Linked DNA regions of Mytilus edulis. The protein of the gene in region 3 interacts with the protein of the main gene of each other region in a pairwise test. Links are inferred from orthologs where the notes say so. Each region holds a gene or a part of one and is shown on either strand. Other genes may lie near its edges. The genes, in order: enkurin domain-containing protein 1-like; CWF19-like protein 2; centrosomal protein of 70 kDa-like; ribosome assembly protein METTL17, mitochondrial-like.

The links.
Region 1: the proteins of centrosomal protein of 70 kDa-like (region 3) and enkurin domain-containing protein 1-like interact in binary tests that used the Homo sapiens proteins (3 or more experiments, as listed by UniProt). The link is inferred for Mytilus edulis from reciprocal best matches to the Homo sapiens genes CEP70 and ENKD1.
Region 2: the proteins of centrosomal protein of 70 kDa-like (region 3) and CWF19-like protein 2 interact in binary tests that used the Homo sapiens proteins (3 or more experiments, as listed by UniProt). The link is inferred for Mytilus edulis from reciprocal best matches to the Homo sapiens genes CEP70 and CWF19L2.
Region 4: the proteins of centrosomal protein of 70 kDa-like (region 3) and ribosome assembly protein METTL17, mitochondrial-like interact in binary tests that used the Homo sapiens proteins (3 or more experiments, as listed by UniProt). The link is inferred for Mytilus edulis from reciprocal best matches to the Homo sapiens genes CEP70 and METTL17.

The regions. Positions count from the first base shown.
Region 1 is NC_092352.1:85,469,648-85,477,152, forward strand, and holds the start of enkurin domain-containing protein 1-like, read right to left. Parts: upstream 3,022-7,505; 5' UTR 2,898-3,021; intron 2,867-2,897; coding exon of another isoform or gene 2,799-2,866; exon of another isoform or gene 2,753-2,798; intron 1-2,752. Other genes in the region: uncharacterized protein C2orf81 homolog, read left to right, coding at 3,328-3,443, 5,674-5,836, 6,255-6,327, 6,737-6,872, 7,253-7,358. UniProt on the Homo sapiens protein: Microtubule-binding protein which regulates microtubule organization and stability. Promotes the stability of astral microtubules and facilitates the proper orientation of the mitotic spindle.
Region 2 is NC_092347.1:12,299,785-12,307,351, forward strand, and holds the start of CWF19-like protein 2, read right to left. Parts: upstream 3,009-7,567; 5' UTR 2,985-3,008; coding exon 2,956-2,984; intron 856-2,955; coding exon 792-855; intron 116-791; coding exon 5-115; intron 1-4. Other genes in the region: uncharacterized protein, read left to right, coding at 3,107-4,630.
Region 3 is NC_092345.1:56,957,635-56,965,112, reverse strand, and holds the start of centrosomal protein of 70 kDa-like, read right to left. Parts: upstream 3,018-7,478; 5' UTR 2,985-3,017; coding exon 2,949-2,984; intron 2,804-2,948; exon of another isoform or gene 2,683-2,803; coding exon of another isoform or gene 2,671-2,682; intron 1-2,670.
Region 4 is NC_092348.1:13,935,907-13,943,656, forward strand, and holds the start of ribosome assembly protein METTL17, mitochondrial-like, read right to left. Parts: upstream 3,003-7,750; 5' UTR 2,981-3,002; coding exon 2,885-2,980; intron 1-2,884. Other genes in the region: diphosphomevalonate decarboxylase-like, read left to right, coding at 3,782-3,833, 5,694-5,764, 7,357-7,424. UniProt on the Homo sapiens protein: Mitochondrial ribosome (mitoribosome) assembly factor. Binds at the interface of the head and body domains of the mitochondrial small ribosomal subunit (mt-SSU), occluding the mRNA channel and preventing compaction of the head domain towards the body.

The DNA.
Region 1 (7,505 bases), on a different chromosome or scaffold from region 3:
CAGTGTTCATTCAATAAAAGTTTGTTCCAAGCAAAATTATCAACGTTTGCACAAACAAAGGAGTAGGTCCGGTAAGGACTGATTTTGGCCTCAAATTTCAGGTTCATCTTACGAAAGATTTTGACCACTTTTTAAACACTTATGTGTCTATTTCATTTGAATCAATTAATTTATGTGAAAGATTTTAACTGATTTAGTCATTAAAAACAACCCGATTCAAGCTCAAATATGAAAAATCTACCAAATCTGCCGAAAAATGACACTTTTCAGATGATTTTTGTCAAAAATGAATGTTGCCGCATCCGTGTTCATCCTCAACCATTATATATGTTATGTATTATCATAAAATACAACTTACATTTCAATATTAAGGATGAACACGAATGCGGCCACTTTCGTTTCACACGAAAACTGTCTAAAATTTAACTAAAATGCTAGAATTGTGAAGATTTCAGTAATTTAGCATGACTTAATGGTGCTAGTACCCGATATATGTGCATTGTATTGTCAAAAACAGCCCATATTTATGTAGCAGAAGCATTCTACTGTCCAATAAATAACTAAAAGTTTACATTTTAACAATTTAACTGCTATATTTTGGGGCCAAAAAGGGGTCTTACTGGACCTACTCCTTTTGTAAACGGACCTGGTTACTTGTATCCTACAATTGTTTACATGTAGGGGTGGCCTCTGGTGATCCGTAGATCAGGATGATCATGTTGATGATGCCTTCGACCAGAGACATATGTACAAATGATGTATGTCTCTGCATTGACATATTATTTATATCTGACATCACCCAAAGGCCTATAAATGGGAGAATACAAATTGGCAGTAAAATCACCAAGTTTGTTCATACAGACCATTTATAAATTCGATGTGACAGAATACAATTTAGTTTCAAGTCTTGTAGCATTTTTATATGAAACACCGCCACACAGGAAAATTTAAACACTCTAGGGTTGAAAGAAAAATAAGACAAAAGCTTAGTTTTAGCAAACAACAACAAACAAACAAATATTTTATTTGCCAATCACAGCGCCCAAAATGAGCAGAATAATCACAATATAATTTTCAGACATAATGTAAAGTAAATTAGGTTAAACAAAGTACATAATATGATTGATTTTGATTTAATTGATTGATATAAAATATTAAAGCAAATGAAGTAGGCAATTTGTAATAATAAAAATATATAATTTAATATGACCAATTGTCTGTTACTCTGGTCCCTTTATTGGACAGCACACCTCATAGAACACTAATAATCTATCAAATGTAAAAGAAATAACTAATGTAAATGCATATTAGCACTTCCAACTTGTTGCAAGACAAAGATGGTGGGAAATGCACTGCTTGGCAGTGGCTTTATATTCTAATTAAATATTCTTTTGATTTCACAGAAATGTCTGGGGTTAAGTTCAAATTCTAATAATTGTTAGTAATTGAATAAAACAAGCTATAGGTTGCACGATGTAAATATTTTTTCACAAATCATGCTTGGAAGATATATAATTTTAATAGATATTAATAGTTTCATACTGGTTCCCCAATATGATCTTTATGTTTCATCTCGTAGAGACATGACTTGTGAATGGTTATTAGTAAATACACATCATATGTGTATTTACCTCACCCTAGGTTTTCAGCATATTTCAATTTGACTGCATATTATGCATATTATGCAGTCAAATTGAAATATGCTGAAAACCTAGGGTTGAGGTAAGGGAATGTAGAATAAAGTTTAAATGCAAGTTAAAACTGAAGTTCCAGGCATATTTATAAACGTTGAAAATATGCCGCAATGCTAAAACGGCCTGGGGAGAACACTGAACCAGAATATAAATTTGATCTGTATTTTGGGTAATAAGCATTGTCATGATTGTGACTTTGAGTATAAGTTTGATAATATTTGGTAAAGGCAAACATAAATAATAAGGTGAACGGAAACTAAAAATTCAGAACATAGAATACAAAAAAATTTAGAAATTTTTATGTTTATAAGGGGCATAACTCAAAAACTGTAAAATATCTGATGCCATAAGGTAAAGGTGATTCTTGAATGACGTCAATAGTTTAAGCGGTGCAGATTAATTTTGACAGGTCAGATGGGAATACAAAATGTAGCGATAAGGTGTTTAAACAATAGACATATTGACACTTGACTGGCTTGTATGCAAATTTATCTGCCCTTACAGACCGTGCAAGGGCTATATAGCCAGTCAAGGTTGTTAAAAACTTCCATTTGTATCTGTCATTACGTAAAATCACACAGGTTTCAGTAAACTTTGACATCATAATTCAAAACTTTGATGTCATAATTAAAAAGTGATTGTTGCTTAAGCCTTAACGTCAAAGGTGATAGGGAGATAGATCTAAGGTCATTCTGTTGCAAAATACTCCTTATCGCTATTTGTCCGCAATTACTGTACTGTATATCACACAGGTTCATGTAAAATTTTGATGTCATAAAACAAAATATCTGATGCCACAATGAAAAAGTGATTGTTGAATGCGTCAAAATTGCAAGCAGCCAGGTCAGCCGTGATTAGGGATAAGGGGTATACAACTTAATATGTTTATATACTTCTTAGGGAAGATCTGGTATTTCTAAAGAAAAACCCAAACAAATAAATTTAAAAAAAATCCAGTCTAAATAACAAGATTAATTTGCTGATCTTTGATGTCATAGACACAAGTGCTGTTATACAAATGTTAACACCGAACTGTTTGAACTAATGCCGAACTCTGATGGTCTTTTCAATGCATTGTGACGTTTCAAGAATCACTCAGAAATTATGGGTTTGCTGCAGTCAGATTCGGACTTGGACGAGCTCTGTCATTTAGAGCTTGCTGCATCACAATGGTGAGAATGGGTTGCATATTGCATGTCTTACATAATAACTATACTCTGTTCCTTCTTCTCACTTGCGATAAACTGATGTTTTGTTTCTCAAATGGCCAAAACGTGTGTTGACAAGGTAAACTATTGACAGGACTCCATTGTAAATTGTTTCGATCACGTGACGTTCGAATTTTCAATATTTTCTGAATTATTTTTTTTTAATTTTCATATAAAGATAACCGGGATTTTTATTTTCATGTTCAATGTAATTGTGTCATTACTTGAATTTTTTTAAATATTGACTCGAGAAATTACGATACCTGTTCGTCTCCATGAAAACTCAAACATCCGGTTTATAAAAAATATTAGTGCCCGAAAATAGAAAAAGTGTTTAGATATTCTAAACTGCGAAATATGTAGCTATTTTTAAGTGTCTGATAGTGTTCTGAATATAAGAAAAAGTAAATCCGGCTGTAGAAACAATGTCAAGAGCTGCAGTATCTAAATCTCGGGCTGACAAGGGCTCAAAACCAGCTCCAGCCCACACTCCAGTCGTTGCTCATGAAATTGTACCAGGAAAATTCAATGATCAGGACTGGTTTGTATAAATTTTTCAAACTTAAATGCACATTAAGATCCGCAGTCAGTGACTTATATATATATGGTCAGATTATATGTTTCGGTACGTCAATGACCGTCATATGATATGAATTCGTTTTACGCATGTTTTTTCAACGGAAATTATAACGTCACAATGCATATTTTAATCATGTTTATAGCACGTAAAGTCATGAAATGAGGATAATTGCAAAAATTTGCGGTTATTAAACCCACGACTGTTTTACATAAATTTTTTTAACAATTTGAAAGGGTTTTCGACTGATAAATCCCCACTTACAAGTTAAATCAATCTTACCATGGCATGTTAACTCATACCAAATTTACAAATCATTAAAATTTGTACCTTTAAAACTTCGGTAGTCTTGTAGTAGTGGGCTTGTCTCATTTCTGTTGCATGAGTTCAGGGGTTCCAAATAAGTTAATTACAAAAAAATGTAGGTCACCCAAAGATAGGAAAATTTGGTTTTTGCTGGTTAAGGGCTACGGAAACTGCATTTACATGTATATATTAAGGAAAACGAAGGTAGAGCTCAAAGTTTAAAACAATACAAAATATTATGAAATCAAATTGCATGTTCTGAAGTTGACCTGAATTAATTATTGATTGGTCTGAATTGATTACCAAAGAATACATTGATAACCACATATATTGAGTAAACACAAAAAACTCATTGTATTAAAATTTTATCCCTCTAATAGGGCTCGGTAAGTATGACATAATGTTACAAATTTTGCTGAACTGTGCTGGTTCTTTATTTATTTAACACAGTTTAAAATTGTTAACTTTGTTTTGTTTTGTTCAATATTAATTATGTTTGAATGTTTGTCTTTGAAATCATTGACATTTATATGTGATAATAATATATAATGTCCACATTGGAAGTAAATAAGAAAATTGAGCAAAAGCTGAGTTCATACAGTGACCAAACAGTAAGATTTTATATACCAAAAGGGTCAGGCTAAATAAAAAAACCTCTAATGATTGACAGACATTGCCAAAGTGAAAAAAGAGTAATGTTCAGACAATGTAAAGTTCACAAGATACTGAAGATGAGCAACATGAACCCTAAAACAACCCTGCTTGAAAGAGTCATTTTGCTTTGGTTGTCTTCAAAAAAGAAAGTTCTAAATAGGATACTCTTTTTTGTTTTAAGTGCATGCTCAGAGAAGACATGCAGTCCATATCTATTTCACACAATAACTTATAATCAGTTACTGAAACGTTATTTATTTATTTTACACAAAAAGCCCTAATTCATGTGTTCTTTGAGCATGTTCTGATCGAGCAAAGACTTCCATATGATATATATATAATGCTACATTTTCCTGATTTTTTTTTAAGAGTTATGGTTATTTGAAATTGTACAGGAAAGTATACATGTATAGCAATTCCATGCATAAGTGTTTACCAGAAATTTAACATTTGAATCATGAAAAAATATGTGGCTCTCTTCATTGTCAAATCTGACCCGACACCTTGGAGAGCAACTACGTGACCTGCCATCTCAATTGAAAGAACCTGTGACTATTTACACAGGTTTATTGTGTAATATATTTTATAAACCTCAAATTAACCCAAAATTGACCTGAGACATTTTTTTTCCCCACTAGTGGTAACAAATGTAGTTTGTCTAACAAAAATGCTGTTGCTGTATTTTCTGGTTTGTCTGTAATACTAACAATCATATAATATCCCCCAAAAAGGACCCAAAAGTACATGAAATCACCAAAGTTGTATTTCTATTTTAATTCCCTGACTTAAGAAATATAAAACATGACACATTATTTGTGATGGCCTTGCTATTGCATGCTGTGCTCAATGCAACTAATGATAAATAATCATAGTATTGTTATTATCATATTGGTAATATATATACAAAATGTACATGTATTTTCTGATTCAGTTTTTATGTTGATGGCAGTATAATTCTTATTGATTAAGGTATATACAGGTATGCTGAGAATACTTGAATTTCTTTGTATACAAAAGTGTTTTTTATGGGATTAAATAACTGAGAACCTCATTTTTTTTTAATAAAATGTTTTTCAAACAAAAATTATACAAAAACTTATTTAAATCAGCAATAATTCATATTCAAATTTGAAATTGGAAAAGAAATCATGGGTAATTAAAATAATATTCTCAAAATGAATTTTAAAAAAGCATGAAAGTGTAGATCCATAATTGTTAATTTTTGTAATTTAAGGACCTGGATGTTGGATAAAGATGGAGCAGAAGACTTCATTGAGGATATTGTGGAAGAAATTGTTGATACATCACTAGATAAAATATATAAACTATATTTAGATAGACAGTTATTACCATTCACTGTTACCATGGCAAAGGATGCTATCCTTCAAGTTATAGAGGTAATAACCATACATTTCCTATAAATCAACATAACAAATAACTATTGATATCAACAGTTTTTATCTTAACAAAAGATTAAATGTTATTTATAGATTTGTAAACATACACACATTATAATGCACAGCTAAAACTTGCGATTCCTCCAGCTGCTTATTGAAATGAAAATGTGAGTTTTTTCCCTATAAGGGAAACAACTTGTACATATATATACATCTCTAATACATGGTCAGTTGTAGAATTAGTGAATAGACTATTTGATATGTCAGTGACCAGTTGATAGCTTCAACAAAAACAAGTTTCATTTTGGTTTTGACTTTCCTATTCCTAATAATGTTTCATTATTTTTTGTAAATGATATGTAACTGAGGCTAGTGTTTTTTATTGCTGCCTTCTATTATACTCTCTTTTTTTTTGTAGTGGCAATTTTTATCTAGAGATGAAGGAGAGACAGAACTTGAATCAACTGGAGAAGGATGGATAGAAGATGAAGGTATAGAATAATAGTCAAAGATGTAAATGTGTTGAACAATTTTCTGATTTCTGAATGAATTATTTAACAAAAAGATTTTTACCAATCATACATAAAGCACTCAAAATGGAAAAAAAAAACATATTTAAAAAAAAGCAGAACAAAACTCATAAAAAATTTAAAAAAAAAATTGTGTATTGCTTTTTCTTGTTTTGTGGTATTCTTACCAGGATTAGTTTTGTAAAAATGAAAACTTGCATTATTTCAATAAACTTATCACTGTAAAGTTGTAAGTAAATACCCATCAGCAAGTCTCTATATTCCTGAACATAGTCAAAATTGAAAACAAGTTTAAAAAGAATCACAATATAAATTAAATGTACATGGTACAAAAACTATAGGCTAATATGTTACTAATTTCGTTTTACAGAACCAGATGCAGCTACTACAGACTGCTGGGCACAAGGTTCTGTACCTAAAAATATCATCCCTAGACGTCCTATCTCACCTGTGGCCGAGGAGTTTGATGAACATCCAGACGTTATTGACGAGGAACCACCATCTCTGTATGTTCAACTTTTTTGACGTTTAAAATTAAATTGTTTTCAGATGCCAATGTTTATATATTATACAGCCATGTAAATTAAATATTCATCCAAATACTCTGACTTCAACTATTGAAAGGCGGTCATGCCTATAACATTCTTAAAAATTTATACTTTTAAAGATATTTGAAATGTAAATGTAATTTTAATTAAGAAGTAAAGAACTGTTAATGAACCATGGCCTTGAATATCAAGAGATACCAGTAATTTAATTAAAAAAAATGTTGATGAATTTTCTTTTTAGAGACATTATATAATGATGTAATTTCTCAAGGTTTTTTTTTTAAAGAGGGGAATAAAGAGATTTAAGTTTATATTAAATGGTCTTCTTTCATTTTTAGTGATGAAGAAAATACTAAAGTTACAGAAGAACCAGAAGAACTTGAAGATAAAGTTTCAGATGATGAGCGACCAGAAGAAGAAGAAAAGAAGACAGAAACAGTACAGGTGACATTCATTTACAATCTGCTATCTTTGCTAAAGACAAAACTTTTCAATCTAAGTTCTTACTTAAGTTTCTTTGTCATGAGCAATCAGCTGATTCAATGAATATTCTTTCCACAGTTTAATTTAGATCAATTGCAAATTTCTGAA
Region 2 (7,567 bases), on a different chromosome or scaffold from region 3:
TTACCTTTTGTTCCCTTTCTAGTCTCTCGTTTAATGCTGGAAGCATCCATGTATCCTCTCCTCTTAATTTGGCTTGTTCTTTTTTCCATTGCTCTTTTTCATACTCCTTTTTAGCCTTGAAGGAAAGTTTTCGGACATCCATTATACAGTAGTTGTGCTATATATATATCAATGTTAAAAATACACACATCAGGGGTGGATCTGGGAATTTATAAAGAAGGGCGTACTACGTATACCATTAAAGGGAATATAAAATCTCATGAAAATATTTGTGGACAATTATATCCTAAAAATTTCCAATCAAATAGGGTTGAAACACCCTCTACATAACACTGAATACAACATTGCAGTATTCAGTAGTAATCTGCAGTGTAACTTACTCATTTGAGGAGACAAATTATAAACCCAGGTCCGCCTTAAATTAAGATTCAAAATGAATAATGCAAAACAGACATAAACATTTGTAGCACAAAACCTATCAGATTTGGGCAAATAAAGAAATAGCTCTTGAAATTGAATTTCCAAAAGGGATTATCTGGGTTACATCTCCCCCCCCCCCCCCCCCCCCCCCCCCCCCTTCCTTCAATGAGGGATATACCTTAAATGATGGACTGTTCCTAAAAACTGAAATGCATCGAACTCGAAAGTTGTCTATTGTATGGTGTGTTTGTCTTGCCCTAGAGGCTATAAAAAAATAGACTTTAAATAATTTTAGAGAAATCTTGCTTCATTGGCGAATAAGTTGGGGCGAAAACTACATAAACGTGGACCCCTTTTCTATCTGAAATTACTTTGGAAACTAAATAATCCCTGGCTTCTTGTATTTCCTTTCTTTTAGTCTTTTTGTCTGTTGTGCTTTCAAGGGAAAACGGTAGTATTTAATTTTCCCAGCATTAGGTTGGCCTTTTGTGTACCCAAGGCAGGTGAAGGAAGTCAAATTAGGAACGCTGTGATTGGATGTAAGGGTACAATATATTTTTTATTTATCTATGAATAACTGCAGTGTGTATATTTACAATGTAAATTTTAAAACCTAATGAAATATTTTCTAGAGAATTATTCGAAAAGACTTGCAAAATTTCATAAATTTGGTGCAAAATGACGGTGGGCATGGATAACATAAACAAGCTCCGTTGGAAGTTGGTCATGATACTATTTGGCTTTAATTTTTAAAACAGAGTAATAAAGTACTATCACAACATATAGCTGTTTTATCCAGGTTTTTATCTTAAAAAGTGGTAAATTTAGAAAATGTGAACATTGTCGCCTATGGCAGAATAAATAGTACCGTTTTCCCTATACTGAAGATAGCAAGGGAAATCAAAGTCACTCAAACTTCAATTCTTTTATACTATTTTGAAGCTTTTGATTATTACATTTGATTTTTATCACAAAGAATAGAAATTTTTCACTGAGAACAATACTGTGTTTAGAAAAGTGCTGAGTCATCATGATAGGTCAAATTGACTGGTAATGATATAAAACTTTATTCTAGGATGTCAATATTAACTATATTGTGTAAAATGCACCATATTATAGTTCTTTTGTATTTGATTTCACCTTTCGCAATGATTTTTTCAATTGGAAACACCAGAATTCAAGTCGCGACAAATATTTTTTACTGAAATGTTTGCCTTTTTTGCTGCGTAATTCCCTAAATGTATAACTTGGGTATTTCTGTAAACATAATCTATTAAGATGGGAAATTGTCTGGTTTAGTTTGTACTGTTTATGGAATTAGGCAATATTTGGTCACATTGAAAGCATTTTCAGTGTTAGAATTGTTCATCTAAGAAAAAAGAGGCCCACTTGAGGCTAAATTTACATAGAACTTATACTCTCCTGTGTAAAGAATTGTTCACATTCTTGATAATGCATGCAGCAAATATTTCAAAAGTGCTTCATTTTGTAGTTTCTTTCTTTTATTACATCAGACATAAATAATTTTTCATTTCCTACTGTTTGAAAGGACTTTTGTTGGAAATTAATACTCCCAAGGGACATAATTCAGCTTTTTCATTGATTAATACAGGCAACAAAGACAACTTTACAGCTGAGTAGTTTGCATATTTAATGTTTAAAGTGTCTAATATCTTTGTTTTCATCATCTCAAGACAGAATAATAGATTTTATAACAAGCTCTAAAATTTTTAACCACAATATGGCATATACTAAAGCATGGAATGGAGATTAGTATGAAAAATCTTGAATTTGTGCATTTCTTGTAAATTTTTGATAAAATGAATACAAATTGAATGGAACTGTCCATTTTATCTGTTTAAATGGAACTATTTATCATTCTTTTTAAATAAGATAAGATATGATTGGATACAGGTTGTTTATTAAGGCTTTTCTGAAAGAAGTAGAGAATGAGGTAAACCAGCATGTAGGGGTGGGGACATAAAATGATCTATGTTTCTTTATGTACTGGAGACATACAAGTATTTATTATAGCCAAGGTTTTCACAATAGCCCAGTATTGCATTAATAATGTCATAAGAATTCTTTATATCTTTATGTCACAGTATAGGGAAAACGGTAGTATTTAATTTTCCCAGCATTAGGTTGGCCTTTTGTGTACCCAAGGCAGGTGAAGGAAGTCAAATTAGGAACGCTGTGATTGGATGTAAGGGTACAATATATTTTTTATTTATCTATGAATAACTGCAGTGTGTATATTTACAATGTAAATTTTAAAACCTAATGAAATATTTTCTAGAGAATTATTCGAAAAGACTTGCAAAATTTCATAAATTTGGTGCAAAATGACGGTGGGCATGGATAACATAAACAAGCTCCGTTGGAAGTTGGTCATGATACTATTTGGCTTTAATTTTTAAAACAGAGTAATAAAGTACTATCACAACATATAGCTGTTTTATCCAGGTTTTTATCTTAAAAAGTGGTAAATTTAGAAAATGTGAACATTGTCGCCTATGGCAGAATAAATAGTACCGTTTTCCCTCAAATGCAATAGCACTCATCTTCTCTAACGTAGAGGATTGAAAAGTATATAAGGTAAAATAAAGAACAATTGACGGAACAAAAAAAAACATTTCCGGAAACGTAGCCGGATATACTATGGCATTTAGGACTCCTAAGAGAAATGCACAAAACAGGACTTGAGGGAAACAACTGGCTATTTTTTGAAAATTGGTATACAGAATTGACATCAAAAGTTAAATGGAAAGGAGAACTCTCCCATCAAATCATAGAACAACAAGGAGTACGACAAGGAGGAATATGGTCCCCGTCAGCATATAAAATATTCGTCAACTCCCTACTAACAACATTTGAAGAAAACCAAATCGGAGCCACCATTGGCTCAATATACTGTGGTATTCCAACTGTTGCTGATGATGTCACATTAATTACAACCGACCCATATGAACTTCAGACCATGCTGGATATCCAATCGAGTTTTGCAAACAAGAACAGATACGAAATAAGTGAACAAAAGTCTGTGGTACTTACCTTTAACGATTCTTCAGAATGTAATTGGCATTTAAATGGCAAACTTATGGCTACCCCAACGTCATCAACACATCTAGGAATTGAGAGGGACAATACCTCAAATACAGGCACAAAACTTGTCGTAAAAAAACGGATCATTACAGCAAGGAGAACAGTATATGCACTGATGGGTGCAGGTCTTCACGGACTTAACGGAGTAAACCCAAAAGCTGCAATTCATCTGATTCAAACATACGTTCTACCTCGATTGTTATATGGTCTCGATGTCATCACACTTACTACTGAAGACATGAAAAACCTCTCCACTTATTTTCGAAAACTCTTGCGACAAATTCAACACCTGCCAGACAGAACTGCAAACGTAGCTTCACATCTTCTTCTCGGACGGATTACCATTGAATCAGAAATACATAAACGAATACTGAAAACCTTTGGAAATATCATAAGAAATGAAAACTCAATTGAAAGAAAATTAGCTATCAGACAGCTAGCAACAAAATCTCTACAATCTGGTAGCTGGTTTACAAAAACTGTTGAAATTGCCAATATATATGACCTACCATCGCCATATGATATTATAGATAACCCACCAGGGAAACAACTTTGGAAAAACCTGGTAAATAAAACCGTCAATGATCACTGTATAAAACAAATGATAAGTGAAGCAAAATCGAAATCTACTCTGTCTCGCCTAAATTATGAAAATGTCAAAGAAGGGAAAATACATAACATATGGAAAAGCTGTGGCACAAATCCATATGCCATCACATCTGCCTCCTTAAAGGCAAAGTTAGCAACAGGGACAATATACCTGCAATATCATCGAGCTAAATTTAGCAATGGACATGTGTCGCCTATTTGCCAGTTATGTGCAGAGGAAGAAGAAGATATACTTCACTTCATATTAAAGTGCTCTAAGCTACAATATATAAGAGATGATTTTCTGCATATGATAGGCGAGGTATTGACAGAAAACCTAGAGGATCAGGATCTTATCCAAGAATTAATAACCAATGACGAACATTTGTGTCAGCTAGTTATCGACTGCTCAAAATTTAGATTTTTAAATGAGAATGCACAGAATAGAATAGAAACATTATCGAGAGGTCTGTGTCATAAATTATTCCAGCAACGGGCAATATTAATTGAACAGTGATTAAAAGCGTGTAATACCGAGCTGAAAAGAAGGGTCATACCAAAAGATAGAACATTTTGTTGTATATAGTGTATTTACATTTTACCGTTTTTAATATGAAAGAAGCAACTTTTATATTTGAATGATGGATGACTTTTTATGCATACCAGAATAATGTAAATATTGGTGATAGGGTCACATCCCCCAGAGGAGATAAATTAATATCTCTTTTATAGTTTTAAAGGTTTTATATATCTTTTAAACATAATCTTGAGGATTTTAACCGCGAGTGATATTACACCGATTCTAGGATTGGTGGTTCTCCTGACATAGGAGGGAGTTGCAGTACAGGTAACAGGTAACAGGTAACGTAGCGACGGTAAAAAATAGCAGGCATATATCAGTAAAATTATTTAAAATTATTGAATGAAAATATTGACAGTGTTATCAAAAATGCTAATTTGACCAAATTATAAATCAGATCGATGTATTTTCTAATTTAAAGTTATTTCGATTACAAAACAAATATTTGTTTATTATAAAGTAAGCATTGCCGCCCGGTATGTGTGTGCCATTTTTGTCTCAAAAACGTAAACATTTTAACAAAACATTAACTGAAATGCATTCCCTATCGTTATATGACTATTCAGTAAGAATGACCTATATTTATATACAAATCAGGAGACAAATTTCCGGTGTTCGTTAGGGAATTTATTTGAAAGGTGATGAACTATCAAATGAATAGAGTTTAAAGCCTTTAAAATTATAGCAATTGACCATTAATAATGTAAAATTCCCAGTAGCATATTCATATATGAGTATGACATATATGATATGTAAATCATACTGCCCCAAATCAATATACAGTTATCATACGTAAAGGCATTTTAATATGGCACTGGCTACGGTTACATGGAAATGTAACAATAATAAAAATATTATTGTTACATTGGAGACTAATTGCCGGATGCAAAGTTGGGTGAGGAACCGATTAATTACAAATGTAACAATAATTACTGAGGCTACGGTTACATTACGTTATTGTTACATGAAAAACAGCAATGTACGCTAGATTGATTAACTTAAATCTTCTATCATAGTTGTATTGCTTCATTCTTTCATATGTACTAAACAATACTTGTTATTTAATACTGATTAATAATAAAATATTATTATTCAACAAATGGTGTACAACTTGAATAGTTTTACTACGTATTAATGGTTTTGATGTTCTTAAAGATACAGTTACTACTGGATTTGTAGAAATTGTCATTGTAAATAAAAAATTACAGTAAATAAATTGTATGTTATAAATGTATGTTATAAATGTTATAAACTTTGGTTATTTAGTACATATTACTAGTCCCATCGTACATTGCTTTTTTTCATGTAACAATAACGCAATGTAACCGTAGCCTCAATAATTATTGTTACATTCGTAATTAAACAGGTCCTTACCCAACCATGCATTCCGGCATTTAGTCTCCAATGTAACAATAATATTTTTATTATTGTTACATTTCCATGTAACCGTAGCCAGTGCCTTTTAATATAGGCACTGGCTACAAATCATTATGGTGTACAACTTGAATAGTTTTACTACGTATTAATGGTTTTGATGTTCTAAAAAATACTACTCAAGATTCGGAGTGTGACTGTCATTAAGTAAGTAAGTAACTGCACACCTACTCTTATTACTGTCATTATACTTTGGACCAATTTTGTTTATGGTGAAAAAAATAAAACTTGGGATACGTTTAAAACGAAACTGAAACAATATCAAGACATACATTTCATACAGCTTTATAACTTGACGCAAATTGATAATCAAAAGCAAAGTTTGCTAACTGTAACTTAAATACTAAGAAATTCTGTATGTGCACGTATCCGTGGAGGACGTAATTTCGTTCATCAAAAATGTGTCGGACTTTAAAAACAACTTACTGGATTTGTAGAAATTGTCATTGTACATAAAAAATTACAGTAAATAAATTGTATGTTATAAATGTATGTAATAAATGTCCTCAACTTTTATTATTTAGTACATATTACTAGTCCTATCGTACATTGGTTTTTTTTTATGTATAACAATAACGCAATGTAACCGTAGCCTCAATAATTATTGTTACATTCGTAATTAAACAGGTCCTTCCCCAACCATGAATCCCGGCATTTAGTCTCCAATGTAACAATAATATTTTTATTATTGTTTATTGTTACATTTCCGTGTAACCGTAGCCAGTGCCTTTAATATATGATGTTATAAAAGGAGGGTCATTTTTAAATAAAATTTCGTAACCTTTTCCCCCCTCCTATATGATTATGACCCATATTTTTTGCACATCCCCCGTGCACCCAATGATAGCCTTTATTAGGAAACGAATTCTCCGTGATGTATACACAATAATTACAATTGCCGTAGGCCTATACGGCTTTGCTGGCCAATGGTTAGTTTAGTTTAAACAATATTTTATTCAAATAAATTGAATTGGATTGGGCAACAGGCATAGCCTATGTAAGCCCTCTCCACAAAACAAGGTACAATATATTACATTCAAACAAAGCAACACATACACAAACATAAAGACAGAACAGAATTAATTTTTCAAAAATACCTCTTAGCTGACTGGAATGATATTTCAAATAGTTAACTCAGATCAAAAGTATGACTATTTTAAAATGCTTCAAATGTTAAATCAGAAAAATTATGAAAAAATAAATTATGGAAAAAAAAGTTTTGGCCAAGGGTTACAATATGCACTTCCCGCTTCTGGATCGTAACCATTGGTTAGCGAAGATGCGGATATCTATACATATATAGGTATATAGATAATTCATTTAACATGCACACAATAATAAAATTATTAGAGATAAGCAAGTGGGTGAACAAAAGATAACACCACCCTTTATATAGTGTCACTAAAACCTGCAGTTAGGCATTATTTTGGTAGATTGTTT
Region 3 (7,478 bases):
TAACAGTTTTAATCACACACACAAATACCAAATAAGTTTTCAACTTTACAATATATAAAGATTAAATTTTGACAATAAAAGAGGTTTCTTATTAATCTATCTGATCTTTTGGCCTAATATATCTGATTTTTAGGCTGACAAATCCAAAGGAGCATGACCTAATGTCCATGTCAGACAGTATAAAAGCTGCTAATAGTTTTACTGTTGGACATGATATTAGGATTATTGTCTTCTTAGTTGATGATGGCAATCATTTTGTTAGACACATGTATATAAAAACTGCTACATTTTGATGCAAGGTTATCAAGACATAGCTACCAGAACTGAAACCTCCTCTTCAAACCCCTGGACATTTTCTCAAAAGGAATGTAATATTTGTACAGGAAACCTATAGACCACTTTCAAGTTCTTTGCATTTCCATAAAAAAACTTTGGTTTTAGTGAACATCATTCTGAATGAATTTCATGCGTTTTGGAGCATTATCACTTCCGTCCCATGTTAAGAGAGTGGGTGATAAGTACCTACAAAGCAAACATTATTTGTACTTTATCCTGCATAATGACATTTACTAAACCCTTGATGAACTTTTATAAAAGTTCAGGAATACAGGCACATGATTCCCTTTATTAGGTAAATGACATCATAAATGCATGCATATACATGTATAATTGAAACTTTTTTGGTGAAGGACATAACTTGAAACCTTGATGATGATGGAAACTAGCTTGAATGTTTCAAAACAACAAATAATTAAAAGCTGTATTGTAAGTTGTATGAGCTTCATGCTACCGACCTTATCAACATATTCATAATTTGAATGTGTTTTCCCAATTCATGTGATGATAATAGCATAGATAAACATTTCAAAATGAATGTAAACAGTCACTTTTACATACAGTATGTGTGTGCATTAACCCTCTTGCTGCCGAGTTTTTTTCTTGCTTTGTCGCGCCAAAAGCATCTTGAAGTTTCTTATGTGTGACGTTGCAAAACTTGTGCCTCTCTGTAGAACTGCGCTTTCCCGCCGTCCATGATTTTTCCTGCGTCAATGTAGCCGTAATTATGAAAACGATGTATAAGTAATTTTACAGATTAAATATGCTCCAAGATTGTCATAAACGATGTTTTTAATACAAGATTATTTAAAAATACAACTTTTAACCTTGTAATATATTTTTTTTTATCTTTCTTGTCTTAAAATAAAGTGAAAATAATATACCGATTGCTATACTAGCTTTAAAGGCGACTTTGTTTTATCTTTGTCAAGTGAAATGCATAAATGATTCTTAACCACTTATAAAATAGTAAAATATTTATTCTCGTTTTTTTATTAGATAATTGGTATAAATACTGTAAAAAAATCTCTCAAATCATATATAAACGGCAAAACAACGGCACTCAATGAAAATGAAAATATAAACAAAGCGTGTGCAAATTCATAAAAATAAATAAAATCTCCGAGCATCTGTTAATTGATAAATTGTTCTCATCGGATGTTGTCTAATGCTTAGTCCGTTGCTGTGTGTGTTACATTTTAATGTTGTGTCGTTGTTCTCCTCTAATATTTAATGCGTTTCCCTCAGTTTTAGTTTGTTACCCCGATTTTGTTTTTTGTCCATAGATTTATGAGTTTTGAACAGCAGTCCTACAAAGTAAAAGATCTGTGGTGAATGCCAGAAAAAAGAGGTTGCATCTGGGAATGGACATCTATGATATATATGATAGGAATGGAAATCATTGTGTCTACTTCTAATTTAACATCCCCATTTCGAATGAAAATAAACATTTTTAAGGCAGTGCTTCCTTGATGAAACAGGTTTAAAATGTATTGAAATATCGTATGGCAATACAAGTACATCGGTTAACATGTGTGTACTTTTACAAAAAAAATCCTATGTCAATCGTAGTATTTGAGCCCTAAATAAATTATCTAGTTCTTTTAAATAAAGCGTGTATGGAGTATTGTGAATGATTATTAATATTTAACGTCATCAAGTATAACAGTTATCTTTTTTATGATTTTTTATCAGGGATAAGATTTTTTCTTTATATGAGATATTCTGATTGATAGATGTACGAAAAAAAACGTAAATTTCTCGACAAAATGCAACATTTTACATGAAAATGACGAACTAGATAATTAGTTAACACGTTAAATAAGTTGGTATTATAGTACTAACAAGCTTATGATCCTGTATCATTTCTTGACATCCGTTTTAAGTATCCTTTTAAAGCATTTTATTCAGTTTGCTTCATTCCCGCCAAAATCGCCCTTTTGACGCCGTATTTTGACGTTGTCAGTGCCCCTGAGTATTGTGACGTTACAATGAACCTTTGACGTTCTACACAATCAACAAGATTTGTGTGTAGAAGCCATAAATGTCCCTTTGGCAGCAAGAGGGTTAATGCCACCTTTAATCATGAAAAATGCACTAAAAATCATTTCAATATCAAAATAAAATGTATATACCTGCAAGAATGACCGAATAAAGTCAAAACAACTTTTATTTATTGACTTAAAGAAGGACTACACAAATGACAAAGTGTATTTTCATTAGTAAGTGACCACCTACTGCACAGTATACTACAGTAGCATTGAGTTACATTAAATTTATAATTCTGTTGATTTTTTAGAATGTAAAAATGTGATTCAAATGTGAAATATTTACTCTGCGAGGCATAATGTCGATCAACGTTCAGGTACTTCTTAATAAAATAATTTCATAGCTGTATAATAAGTGTTATCGAAGTTACGGATAGGAAACATGTCCAAGCAAGTGCCTGAAGTGGGCCAAGAAATTCAAATTTTAGCGGGCACTGACATCAGATTATTTGTTAACTTATCAGAATATGTTACAATATCCATCTTTCTTAGATAAAACATGTTCAAAATCAGCATTTTATAGCTATATAAAAATTGATTTGTACAATAATTTCAATCAAATACCAATTTTTCAAAATATCTGTTTCCAAAAGCCGCCATTGTTGTTTACATATGCGACACTGTTTTGTTTACAAAAACTCAATAATTTAAGGAAGAAATTCCAATAAAAAAAAATATTTTCGAAAATAAAATTAACAGGTAAATTTTTCATACCATATTTTAAAAGTATAAACAGTGGGAAAATAGTTATTACTGGATCGAAATTCACTGCGGCTTTACGAAGTAACAAGTGCCCGGATTTTGTGTAAGTGTTGCCAGGCAGATCGTTTCATTCTTCTTCGCTAAAATCTGTGTTTTTATACCTTTATATGCTTTAAGGTAAAGTGAACTTTTAAACCTGCTAAACAGTAAAAGTATTTTAATTGTATGCAAAATGTAACCAGCTGGTAACCTCTGCAAAAGTTTTTAAATCCTCCTACCTTGTTGACAGGTTGTCCACACAGTCATAGGCAAATGTTTCTGAATTTTGTAACATATACATGTGTACATTTGTATCTATACCTTAATATAACACAAAGTACCCAATGCATTTGTGAGAAATAACGCTCAATCACGAACTTTTGTGATATATCAGTTCTGCGGTTGCAGTGTTCTCCTCTCCGGCCGTCATATCCTGCCGTACTCCGTAGTCTATAATCGGTATTCATGTCAGTTTGTTAGGACTTTGTAAATGTACTTTTTACATGAAGAATTTCTGCATTGACATCACTACGCTATTGCCAGTGTACAAAATTAGTGCAAAATGTCTTTAGTCTTTAGTGAGTGTCAACTTGACACTATAATCTCTCTGTATTAGATCGGTATCAGGTCCGTTCGCGCCCAAAACACTTTCGCATCCTACACGTTCGCACCTCGCATGTTCGCACCCAAGGTCCGTTCGCACTCTACACATTCGTGCCCAATTTTAATTCACATTCCAGTTGAATAATTGGAAAATTATGATTGTTGTTTAAAGTTGCTTTGGTGTAAATACTGAATGTATTTATAGCTTAATATGAGTAAAACTTTGAAGATTTTAAATGAAAAACACAAAAGATAATTGTTTTTAACAGCTTGGTCCCTTTGACCTGAAACAATAACACAATTAAATATAGCAATACACTATTATAACCAAAACATGATAACATTTATTCAACACAGAAGAAAAAAACGTAGTCAGAATCTCCTTTTATTTTAAAACAAGTCAATGAAACAAAAGTTATAGCAATACACTAACCAAAACATGATTAAGAGTTATTCAGCACAAAATAAAACGTTGACAGAATCCCACTTTATTTAGAAAGGATTATTAATTTTTTTAACAATACACTATCCAAAACATGATTAAGATTTGTTCAACACAAAAAAATGCTGTCTCACTTTATTTTGAGACGATGACAACAATTATACTTATTAGAATACACTTGACAAAAATTTGATTACAAAGTTATCAAACACAAAACCAATTAAAATTGGGGGCGAACATGTAGGGTGCGAACAGACTTTGGGTGCAAACATGTAGGGTGCGAAAGTGAAAGGGGGCGAACATGAGTGTGTGCGAACGGACCCGGATTCATTTAGATCACTCTGGTAATTTTATGTCGCTTTTGTATAAAACTCATTAGTACGTTTGTATTTATGATGTGGCACCGCAGAGAAAAATAAATAAAAAAATAAATAAAAAAATAAATCAATAAATAATTAACCCTTATAAAACCTTAACTATTTATTTTGTGAACCTTCCAGTATTTTTAATAAAAACCCCTAACAAATGTTGAATATCATCTATTATTTCTGTTGTTTCTAATAATACTTCTGATTCAAGTGTTAGTTTTGATGTTATGAAGTAAAGTGCAGAGCACAGTTTCTCTCTAGCCTCCTCATAATGTTCACAATACAGTAGATAAAGGTCAACTGTTTCTTTTTGTCCACAGCTGCATTTGTTGTTGAGTGCTGGGCATATCATTGATTTGTACGAGTTTAAATTACAATATCCTGTTCTTAAGCTAGTTGATATCCGATACATTTCAGTTGATGGTTTGTCTTTTAGAAGTGTATTTTTTACATTTTGTTGGGAGGAATAATATCTTTTTCCTTTACTACTGTTGTCCCATCGGTTTTGCCGTTTTAACATTACACTGTCTTTTGCTCCTTTTTGTATATATCTTGTTTTGTGACTATTGGAATGCTTTCTATTTTTTTCTGCCTCCTGTGTTGCCTATTTAGCTAGTTGGTCTGCTAGTTCAATACCTTGTATTTCAGCGCGTCCAGGGGTCCATTCAATGGAAACAATGATTCCTTCAGATTTAAGTGCCAAATACCAATTTTAATAACATGAATAGTTGCCGTAATTAACCGATTTCCAATTTAAAGTTAGAATTCCAATTGCTGATTGGCTGTCTGAGAAAATTTTGATGGATTCTGTGTTTTTTCTGTTGTTTTCTGGCTGTGTTAACTCCACATGTTCTGTGCTGCTTGGTATTAAAATAGCTTCCCCAGCCCACAACCTGGGTTTCCTCTGCAGGAGCCACCAGCGAAAGCTATTGTTGTATTTTTTTTTAGTTGATATATTTTTTCAAAATAATAGTCTTTCCCTGAAAAGCTTGTTCCTTTGATCTAGACTTTGAACTTCTGAGATTTTTCCAATACTCTGGTGGTGATTTTGAGGCTGCTAACCCTCGGAATTCCAATTCATACTATAAGGCCGTTAGATTTCTCGTTTGATTTACAGGGTTTAAGCTAGGATTTTGAGGGCTTTAGTCACTTTAGCGCGCTATGAAAATCAACCTTTTTTTTGTGTAACAGCAAGGGACCAAGGATTTATATTACTAGCTTCATCTTTGACTTTGTCAGATTTTAAAGGGCTTAGGCATGATTGGCAGTCTAACAGTATTATATGATTTGACTTTTGGCCCTTATTATGAAAGATTCTGACATGGGATGTGGAAACTTAGTTCACAATTTCTCTTCAGTTTGTTCCAGAGGACATTCCTGATCAACAAAAGTTAAGATTTATTTCTTTTTTAAACAAGGGTACACAGCAGAAATTAACTTGCAATGATAATATCACTGCATAATCATTATCCTTATAAAAAGTCTAAATCAATATTTGGAAATCTTTTCTATTAAGTTGGAACTGTATAAAATCCTTTTGGAACGAGTACAACGACTGAAAGGAGGTTGTAAATAAATCAAGAATAGATCACGTTTACTACTTTCGGTTTTAAAATGAAACGAAAACGGGAAGTGACACGTGGATGATAAAGTCCGGATTCATCAGGAATTTATCAGTTTTCGGTTGAATTTTTTTTAGTTAGAGCTATATATTTGTCTCTCTCGTTTAATTGATCTAAATGATTTCGTATTTTACATTTTTATTCAGAGTCTATAAATAGTCATAAGTACTTCCACGCATGCGTAGCACACAGTACAGGAAGCACCTGTTTAACTCGCGACGTTTTGAATACAGTTCTATATTTTAAATAGAAATTGTCGAAAGTTTTTGATGGCAATTTATATCAATTATGACGAAAATGCGTTCGAATGACGAATCTACGACAAATGATCTTCAAATTGTGATCGTTAGAGAAATATTGAAATTTCAAATGCGAACTGTCCGGGGGTAACCATTTCGATTAAATGACGAAACTATAATATACACCTGGTTGTTGAAATGTCAACTGACTGATTTTCCTGAGTAAATAATTATGATGGTCAACTATGAGGTTTATTAATAATAAACGGATTAGTGACCCATCTGATGGCGATAATCGGATTAGTTGTAATCACAACTTGTAACACCTGTTGAAAATGTTAATTACCTGAGGGTCATAAACTTGTCAAAAACATAGAAACAGGTAGATTTATAGTCCTTTATAGTATTTTAATGCGAAAATATTTTTTACACTTTCAAAATTTAAGTGACGAAATTGATTTGAAATACTTTCGTCAATGCGAAAACTCTTTCGTAAATTACGAAAGTGACGATCGCTAGCAAAATCACTGCCGTTTGAATTGTTTTACATTGTCATATCACGCCCTTTTATAACTGACTATGCAGTATGGGCTTTTCTCATTGTTGAAGGCCATACAGTGACCTATAGTTGTTAATGTCTGTGTCATTTTTGGTATCTTGTGTACAGTTGTCTCATTGGCAATCATACCACATCTTTTTTTTTATATCTATACCCTCAGAATCAATCTCTGTTGACCTCATCATGTCTTCAGACTGTAATACCATTCTTCCAATTGGTGAGATTATTTTTTCAGGTTCATTTATATTCTTTCAATATTCAAAAATTAGTTTAATAGGGATAGTGATTTTATATGATTTTATTTTTGCAATTTGCCTTAAACCGGTTTCTTTTCTTTTGAGGTCCAGTGGAAGAATTCCTGCTACTACTTCTTAAGTTTCTATACTAGCTGTTGTTGTGGTTCGTTTTTTATACCCCACACACGATAGTAGAGGGGCATTATGTTTTCTGGTCTGTGCGTCCGACCGTCTGTCCCGCTTCAGGTTAACGTTTTTGGTCAATGTAGTTTTTGATGAAGCTG
Region 4 (7,750 bases), on a different chromosome or scaffold from region 3:
CTGCAATTTCAACAACACATGCGGACACTAACAAGATGGTAGTCTCACATATACTAAATCTGCTCAAAATCTAAAGGCCTTAAAAAAAACCATATAGCTGAGATTTTCAACAGTTTCTCAGTCCAAAGCCCGTAATTTCGACAAAAACTAGTGAAGCGGAACGAAACTCAAACTTGATCTGTAACTCATCATGGTTAACTCACATACCAAAAATAAGTCCAATATCTAAAGCTGTTTAGAAAAAAACCTGTATAATGGTTTGTTGCGGAATGACGGAATTTCAATATTACGGAATTTCGGAATTACGGAATTACGGAATTTCAGAATTATGGAATTTCGGAATTACAGAATTTCGGACAAGGGTAAAACTAAATGTCCCTGACAACTTTGTTGCGGGGCCATAACAAAAAAGCCTTCAGTAGGTTACTAGCAACATAGTGTCAATGAATGTTAATCATGATCATGATGATTTACCACGTTTCGGTTTGACCAGTCATAAAATTAGTAATACACAGTTAGGAAAAAAACTATAAATTGACACTCATAATTTTTAACCACTATTCTTTTCCTTCTTTTCTGAAAAATAAGGCTTTATATATATGTGTATATTTATTGAAAGAGCAAGAGTGATAATGGTGAAAAATTCTCTTTTTGGTGTAAATATAGCAACAATCTGCATTTATTTGATACAAAATATTGCAAAAATAATTAAAAGGGTGTGAAAATGTCACAAAAGTCCCCATAATTGGGTCAAACAAAAGAATAGGTTTGTTTGCCCTACCTACTCAGAAAATAGCTGCAGACTCAAAATCTTTTATTGTCCTCATGTGATTTTTTTTTAATCAGATATGCATGAATATGATGAAGACTTCTAAACATCCAACATGTCCATGATGTCCAATACTTAAATTTCTCTTTGTCAAAAAAAGAAAAAGAAAATGCCTACCTACCTAACTGTCTCCATGTTTGGGTAGGGTTTGGGCAAACCAAAATATTTTTAAAATTTCAATACATTAGAATGATACCTTTCCTGAAACCATAGGCATTTATCTATCAAAAGGTAAAAAAAAATTCATATATATAACCATTTCCACCTCTTTCGAAAACAAATTTGCTCCCCTATTCAATATGGCCGAACTAACTGTGAAGTTACCTACATTGTATAAAATTGAGGAAATGGGGAATTTGTCAAAGAGAAAACAACCCGACCATAGCTCAGCAGACAACAGCCAAAGACAACCAATGGGTCTTCAAAGCAGCGAAAAATGTATGTTTGTTTATAAATGTCATAGATATAAGATTTTTTGTGTTTTAAAGCCACTTTTAGGCACATGTTTAGGAGCTGCGAAGGTACAGTAGAATCTGTGTACACTCCCTACATGCCCTATCTTGATTAACTTTATTACAACAATGTTTACAAGGACGGGTGCAAGAGAAGTCGGCCAGGAGACAACTAAGACTGTCTCCATTAAAGTCTACTGGGACAGTCTATGAAGACAACTCGGACCGTCAATAAGAAAACGTGGACCGTCAATTAGACAACTCGGACCGTCTATAATAACAACTCAGACTAAGTATAAAATAAGACTTTTGATGAAATAAATGATTTAAGGGTGAAAGCTATATGTCTGATGAAAGTTTTACAGTCAATTTATATAAATAACAATAACTCGGACTTTCTATGAAGCGATGCCTATATAGACAATTTAGCATGTTGAGTGTTGTAGATGATCCGAGTTGGTGTTGTTTTTTTTTTGCAAAGTCAGTAACATGGCGAAATGATGTTGCAATCTAAAATATATTGTTTAATAATTTATAATAATTTATGTATAGTTTAAATCCTCCTTTAACACTTTGGCTGTGTTGTTCTTATAGACGATCCGAGTTGTCTTATTGACAGTCTGAGTTGTCTTCTTATATGGTCTGAATTGTTTTTTTTAGATGGTCAGAGTGGATGTGGTCCGACCTGTCTTTGGGTCAGGAGTGTTGGGGTATGAATAATACAGATATTGAGATAACAAGTATAGAGGAAAACTTGTATGGGGACGAGGTCCCCAATTATGGTAGAAAAATTTTACAAATGAACTCAAAATCGTTAACTTTTTTTTCAGATCTACTTCCTGTTCCAGTTTTCCCCGCATTCGCGCAAAAAATCTACTTCCTTTTCCGGTCTTGTTTGCATGAGACTTTGAATAAAATATATATTTATCAGTCAACATGTTTGAATTAAAAAAAAAATTAATACAGACTTCGTCCCCATTCACAGGTAATGCCTGCCTCATATTAACTTTAAGAACGTCACAGCTAGACTACGTCACAGCTAAATCCCTAACAACCGAACCAAAATCGGAACGTTACGGTATTTCTGTTTCTTTTATCAATGTTTGAATTCAAAAAAATAATGCATACAGACTTCATCCCCATTCACAGGTTGTGCCTGCCTCATATTTAAATTCAGCTGGACATCATGACATGATTGAGGGTAGTAATGCCCTTTACCATCAGGCGTGAAACGGTCATTTTCGGCTACCGTTAGCGTCAAATTGGTTAAAATTTTACCATGATTCATCAAATTATCCTTATCGTGATTCGCGATTCGTTAGAGGTTTCAAATAATTATCATTACCGTCATTTTTAGGGAAAAAATTACTGTGATTGGTTAAAATTAGCTCGTCTAAAAGAAAGTGTCATGCGCCAAAAATTACCATTAACATCATTTGACAAGAATTTTTACCGTTATTCGTCATGAAGGTCCCCCATTACCTGACCCTCATGTCATGATTGTGTAACCGAATGTCAGACGAATCTCAGAGTTCAAGCTAAGGTGGCAAAAAAGATAAAAATTAACGTGGTTGGTGAAAAAAATTTGAAACGGATGATTTACCTCTGATGGGTGTATGATTTTGGTCGATTTTTTTCTATATTGTCGAGAAAACAGTTTCCAAGAAGAAACTCTTGCCCTGTGCATGGGGGCTGCCATTTTTCTAAGTTGAATGGAAAGAAAACCCTAGAAAAAACCGAAAGTCAAGTTTTGTCTAATATTTCATAAAAGAAAATTTAAATAGAAAGACAACGGTTCGTGGTCTAGTGGTTAAGACCGATGGCTACAGTGCTGAAGGTCCCGAGTTCGATTCTCACTCGGGGTGCTAAAAATCTCAGTACATTAGAAGGGTAATTTTCACCCTCTCACACACATCTCTGGTACCCAGACCGGAGTTTAAACTAGAATGGGTACGTTGGGGGCCTCGGTTGGTCAAAGTGTCCCTACTTTGACCTGGAGATCAATCTTCTGATATCTCTCTGGTTTGTCTGTTTCCACCGAGTGGCCCGGTGGTTCTCTCCGAGTACTTCGGCTTCCTCCACCACAATAACAGACTTCCCGGTGTCCTAGCACTCCCTTTGTGTTGAATTGGGTGGGGATTGGTTGTCCTTGTAAAAATAATTGTCGTATAAATATACGTTAGTGACACATCTCCATTAATCCCGTTAGGGAGTGTACATGGATGCCACTGTACCCTCGCAGCTTTCGAGGGGTTCTTCGGATATCGGAGGCATTTACCAGTACATACATACAACGACGGACATTAATTAAATAAAACAGAAACAGCTGCAAGAGAAGACCAATTCGTAAAAAAAGAAAATTTTGTGGTTATCTGCAATTAGTTATCTCGAAAAACCATATGATTGAAAAAAAAAAAAAATATGAAATACAGGCCACGGTCAATAATATTTACTTTCGGAAGCTTTCAGCAGTTTTCCTTCATCTTACACAAGCCAGGAAATGCAGTGTGACACCTGCACAGGACCTGTAAATATTGCTGTTATTAAATATTGTAAGGAACTACAGTATCAATGGCAGTTTTAATGTAAATGTAAAGGGCCAGGTGCTACTATTCAAAAGCAGTAAAGGTCGAATAAGTAGCCATTTACCTTGAAAATTCAGATCCTTTAGGGGTATGTGAGGGGGAGGACAGGGGGGTACCCTTCTCCCTTCTCCCACCCTCTTCTCCTTTCTGCTACCCCTCATCTCCTTATTTTATTTTTTTTAATTTACCGGAAAAAAGATTTTTTCATATTTAATTTTTTTCATATTTAATTTTTTTCTCAAACATTTTCTCCTTTCTCCCAGCCTTCCTCTCCTTTCTCCTACCCCCTTTCTCCTTTCTCCTACCCCTTTCTCCCTGTCTTCCTTACCCCTTTCTCCCTGTCTTCCTTACCCCTGTCCTCCCCCTCGTATGTAGGTCTGTTGCAGCAGGGCCCACAGATGCTTGAGGACAGGAGCGCTATAGTTGAGATTCACGTTGATAGTAAACATGCATATTTATAGTAAAAATATGATATATTAGTATATATATGGTACACATAAGTGATATATGTATCGAAAAATCTGAGATTTATGATAATAAGGGGGAGGTACTATATGGGGCTCATACAGGATCCTATCCTCAAGCACCTGTGAGGCTGTGACAGGGCCTACCTATTTTATTAATTGTTAATTAGTTCATGTCCTTAAACCATGTTAACCATGTAAAACATGCATGAAATATTTGCCACTGGACGTTAAGTAACCACCAATCAATCAATTTAATCATGCAAATGTAAAATACATTAATAATTCAAATTGAAATAAAAACATGATTATTCAGTTATACCTCTTTTTCATTGTTCTTCATGTTCTTTGTTCAATATTACAATTTCATGGTTTCACTGGTCTTTTTCTTGTTTACTACATGTATCATGACTATATGTAATATGTAAACTATATTTAGTATATATGAAAAGATTTAAAGTGTACAATAACTACATGTCTGTCTGTATTGGTAAATGGTTTATCTGACCTTGACTCATTTCATGGATTATGATAATGTGAAGACTTAAGTTTATGTGATATTTGTAGTAAAAATGTATGACTACATGTACCAACAAAATATCAAACACAGTTATAAAAGCAGGTGATACATTTCAGTTTGTGCACACTTGTGTTTCATACATGTATGTATAACTTCATAAACACACTAGACGTGTTATAATTATGTTAACAATATATACAGCTTATGAAAAAATCAGGAATAGAGAATTGCTTTAAAAAAACCAGCATCTTCTTATATTTATATACATGATATATAGATTCCACAACTGCATCAAGTGTGTTACAGTATTTCTCCACTCCAGACAGTTAAATTTTGAGTCTTGTCATGCGTTTTGAATATATGTAAAATTTTACTGTTGAGAGTTGAGAGGTATTGTTATACACATGATATAGTCATGATAGTAGTAAAATCTAATTCTCTAATGATTTGTAGACGATATCTAAAAAAATATCATTCCTTTTCAAAGATTTGTGGAAAATTGTGTTCTTTTCATGTGACATCATTAGACATGGTCGCCTGTTTTTAAAACATTACAATATAGGCAATAGGCAGTGATTTTGCTAGCGCTCGTCACTTTCGTATTTTACGAAAAGGTTTTAGAAATGACGAAAATATTTCATATCAATTTCGTCAAAAAGGTGTTAAAAGTTGTGATGACAAGTAATCCGCCTATCGCCAATCAGATGGGTCACTAATCCCTTAATTATCATTATAAAACCTCATAAATGATCATCATAATAAATGAATAGGAAATGAATTATAATTTAAAAATGACCTATAATTTAAAATGTATAATGAATAATTTTTTTTTCTAAATTTCAGGGGGAAAGAGAAATGAGAAATTGATACTGCCATTGAACTCTTCAGTTAGTGTGACACTTCATCAGAATGAGGTATTGTGAACATGGTGAATATGCAGCTAATGTTTATTTATTTGGCATAGTTATAAGAGGGGTGTAAAGGGGGGTATGTGCACAGAAGAACACAAAATAAAATTGGGAGTCTCATTGGGGGGGGGGGGTTCTGATCCTGGATCCCGCTTATTGTTGTGTCAGATTCCCGTATCCCGCTTACACTATGTACGTAAGGAATTCTCATTTTTTTGTAATTTCCAGTGTCCCGCCAGACTTCATTTCCCGTTTTCACGGCACAATAATTTGACTTTCACGTGTCACGCTTACAAAAAAAATCAGCAATCCCACGTCACACTTAGACCCCAATGAGACCAACAAAATAGCCATTTCACGATGAACGAACAATTGAAAAATGGTTGCAGGTTGATCTTTTTACTGATTTCATGAAACACAGTGAACAACGAACCTTTTTCACAGCTGCACGTGAAATAAAAATGGCAAAAAAGTTGCATGAAAATAACCCTTTAAACCCTCTTATAAGCTTCTGTCCAAATAGACCTGTATCCTTAACTTATTGGTTGAATATATAAACCTAATAAATGAACAAATCTAGCATCTTCCACATCAACAGCTTTCGCTCAGTTAGTTGTATTTTTTCATATCAAACCTGCATGACCGTTTATCAGAATATTTGTCATGAAAATATGGGTCATTTTCTAACATGAATGCAGGCTGTGTTCCTCTTGACAATTTCTTTTTATGTCAAATTATTTTTCAATAATGATTTGGTGGGTTGCCTATATTCATTGATATCATGGGTAATATAGAAAAACAACTTATTTAATATTAAACAAAGTTTTTTTTTATAGGATTTGTATACAGACTGCAGGCAAAACCATGATATCCATATGATATCCCTGAAAATGCTATTTATTTTTAATCCCCAAAAATATTGGTATCGGAAAATGAACCAGAATCATAGTCTTATTACTATGTTGTATCATGATTATAATGCTATTTCCATTTCATAGAAAGTCTTTTCCTGTTTCTATGCACATGATGCATGAATATGAAAATCTAACATTTTAAAAATTAAAAAAATGAATGTCAATGCTTGAAATAAAAAAATTTTTTGCATGTAATACTTATAACACAACACTATCAACTGTTGGTAATTTACATCTGTTGAAAATACTCATATGGTTTTTGGCAGGAAATAAATTATAAAATTGTGAAAGATTTTTTGAAAATAGTATTTTCATGAATAGTAAAAAAAATACTGTGAATTCATTTATATTCGTTGGATACTAATTTTCATCATGTTCATGGTTTTGTGGGTACAGGAGAACCACGAATTTAGATATTCAACGAATTACAAATTTTCTAAAGTAATGTGTGCAGACTTTGCCAAAACCACGAAATTAAATATCCACGAATATGCAAATTTTCCTCAAACCATGAAAATTGGTACCCACGAAAATAAATGAATCCACAGTAATCGACATGTACAAATGTATATTTTACACTTTATTTTCAGTTGAGGACTGAAACAACAATAGCTGCCAGTCCAAACTTTACAAAAGATCAGATCTGACTGTACTCTACATGTATATTTTACACTTTATTTTCAGCTGAGGACTAAAACTACAATAGCTGCCTGTCCAAACTTTACAAAAGATCAGATCTGGCTGAATGGTGTGTAAGTCTTTATAGGAGTTATTTTATAAAGCTTAATTTATTTATTTATCTTCAGAAATTTATAGCAGCATTGCAGAACCTTAGTTAAGTAGTATTAAAAGTAGGCAAAGCTCTGGAAAACTTCAGAAAGACCTCACCCAATAATCTTCTTATCTTCATATCAAAAGTTATATGATCGAAAACATCATGTTAAACAGTCTACATATAGCTTGTTTTTATGTTATATTTTAACGATACTTGTCTACTTTTGGAAACACACACTTTACCATGTTAACTGATATTGTATTTCTGATATATATATCAGATAAACAAATGTGTTCACATCAT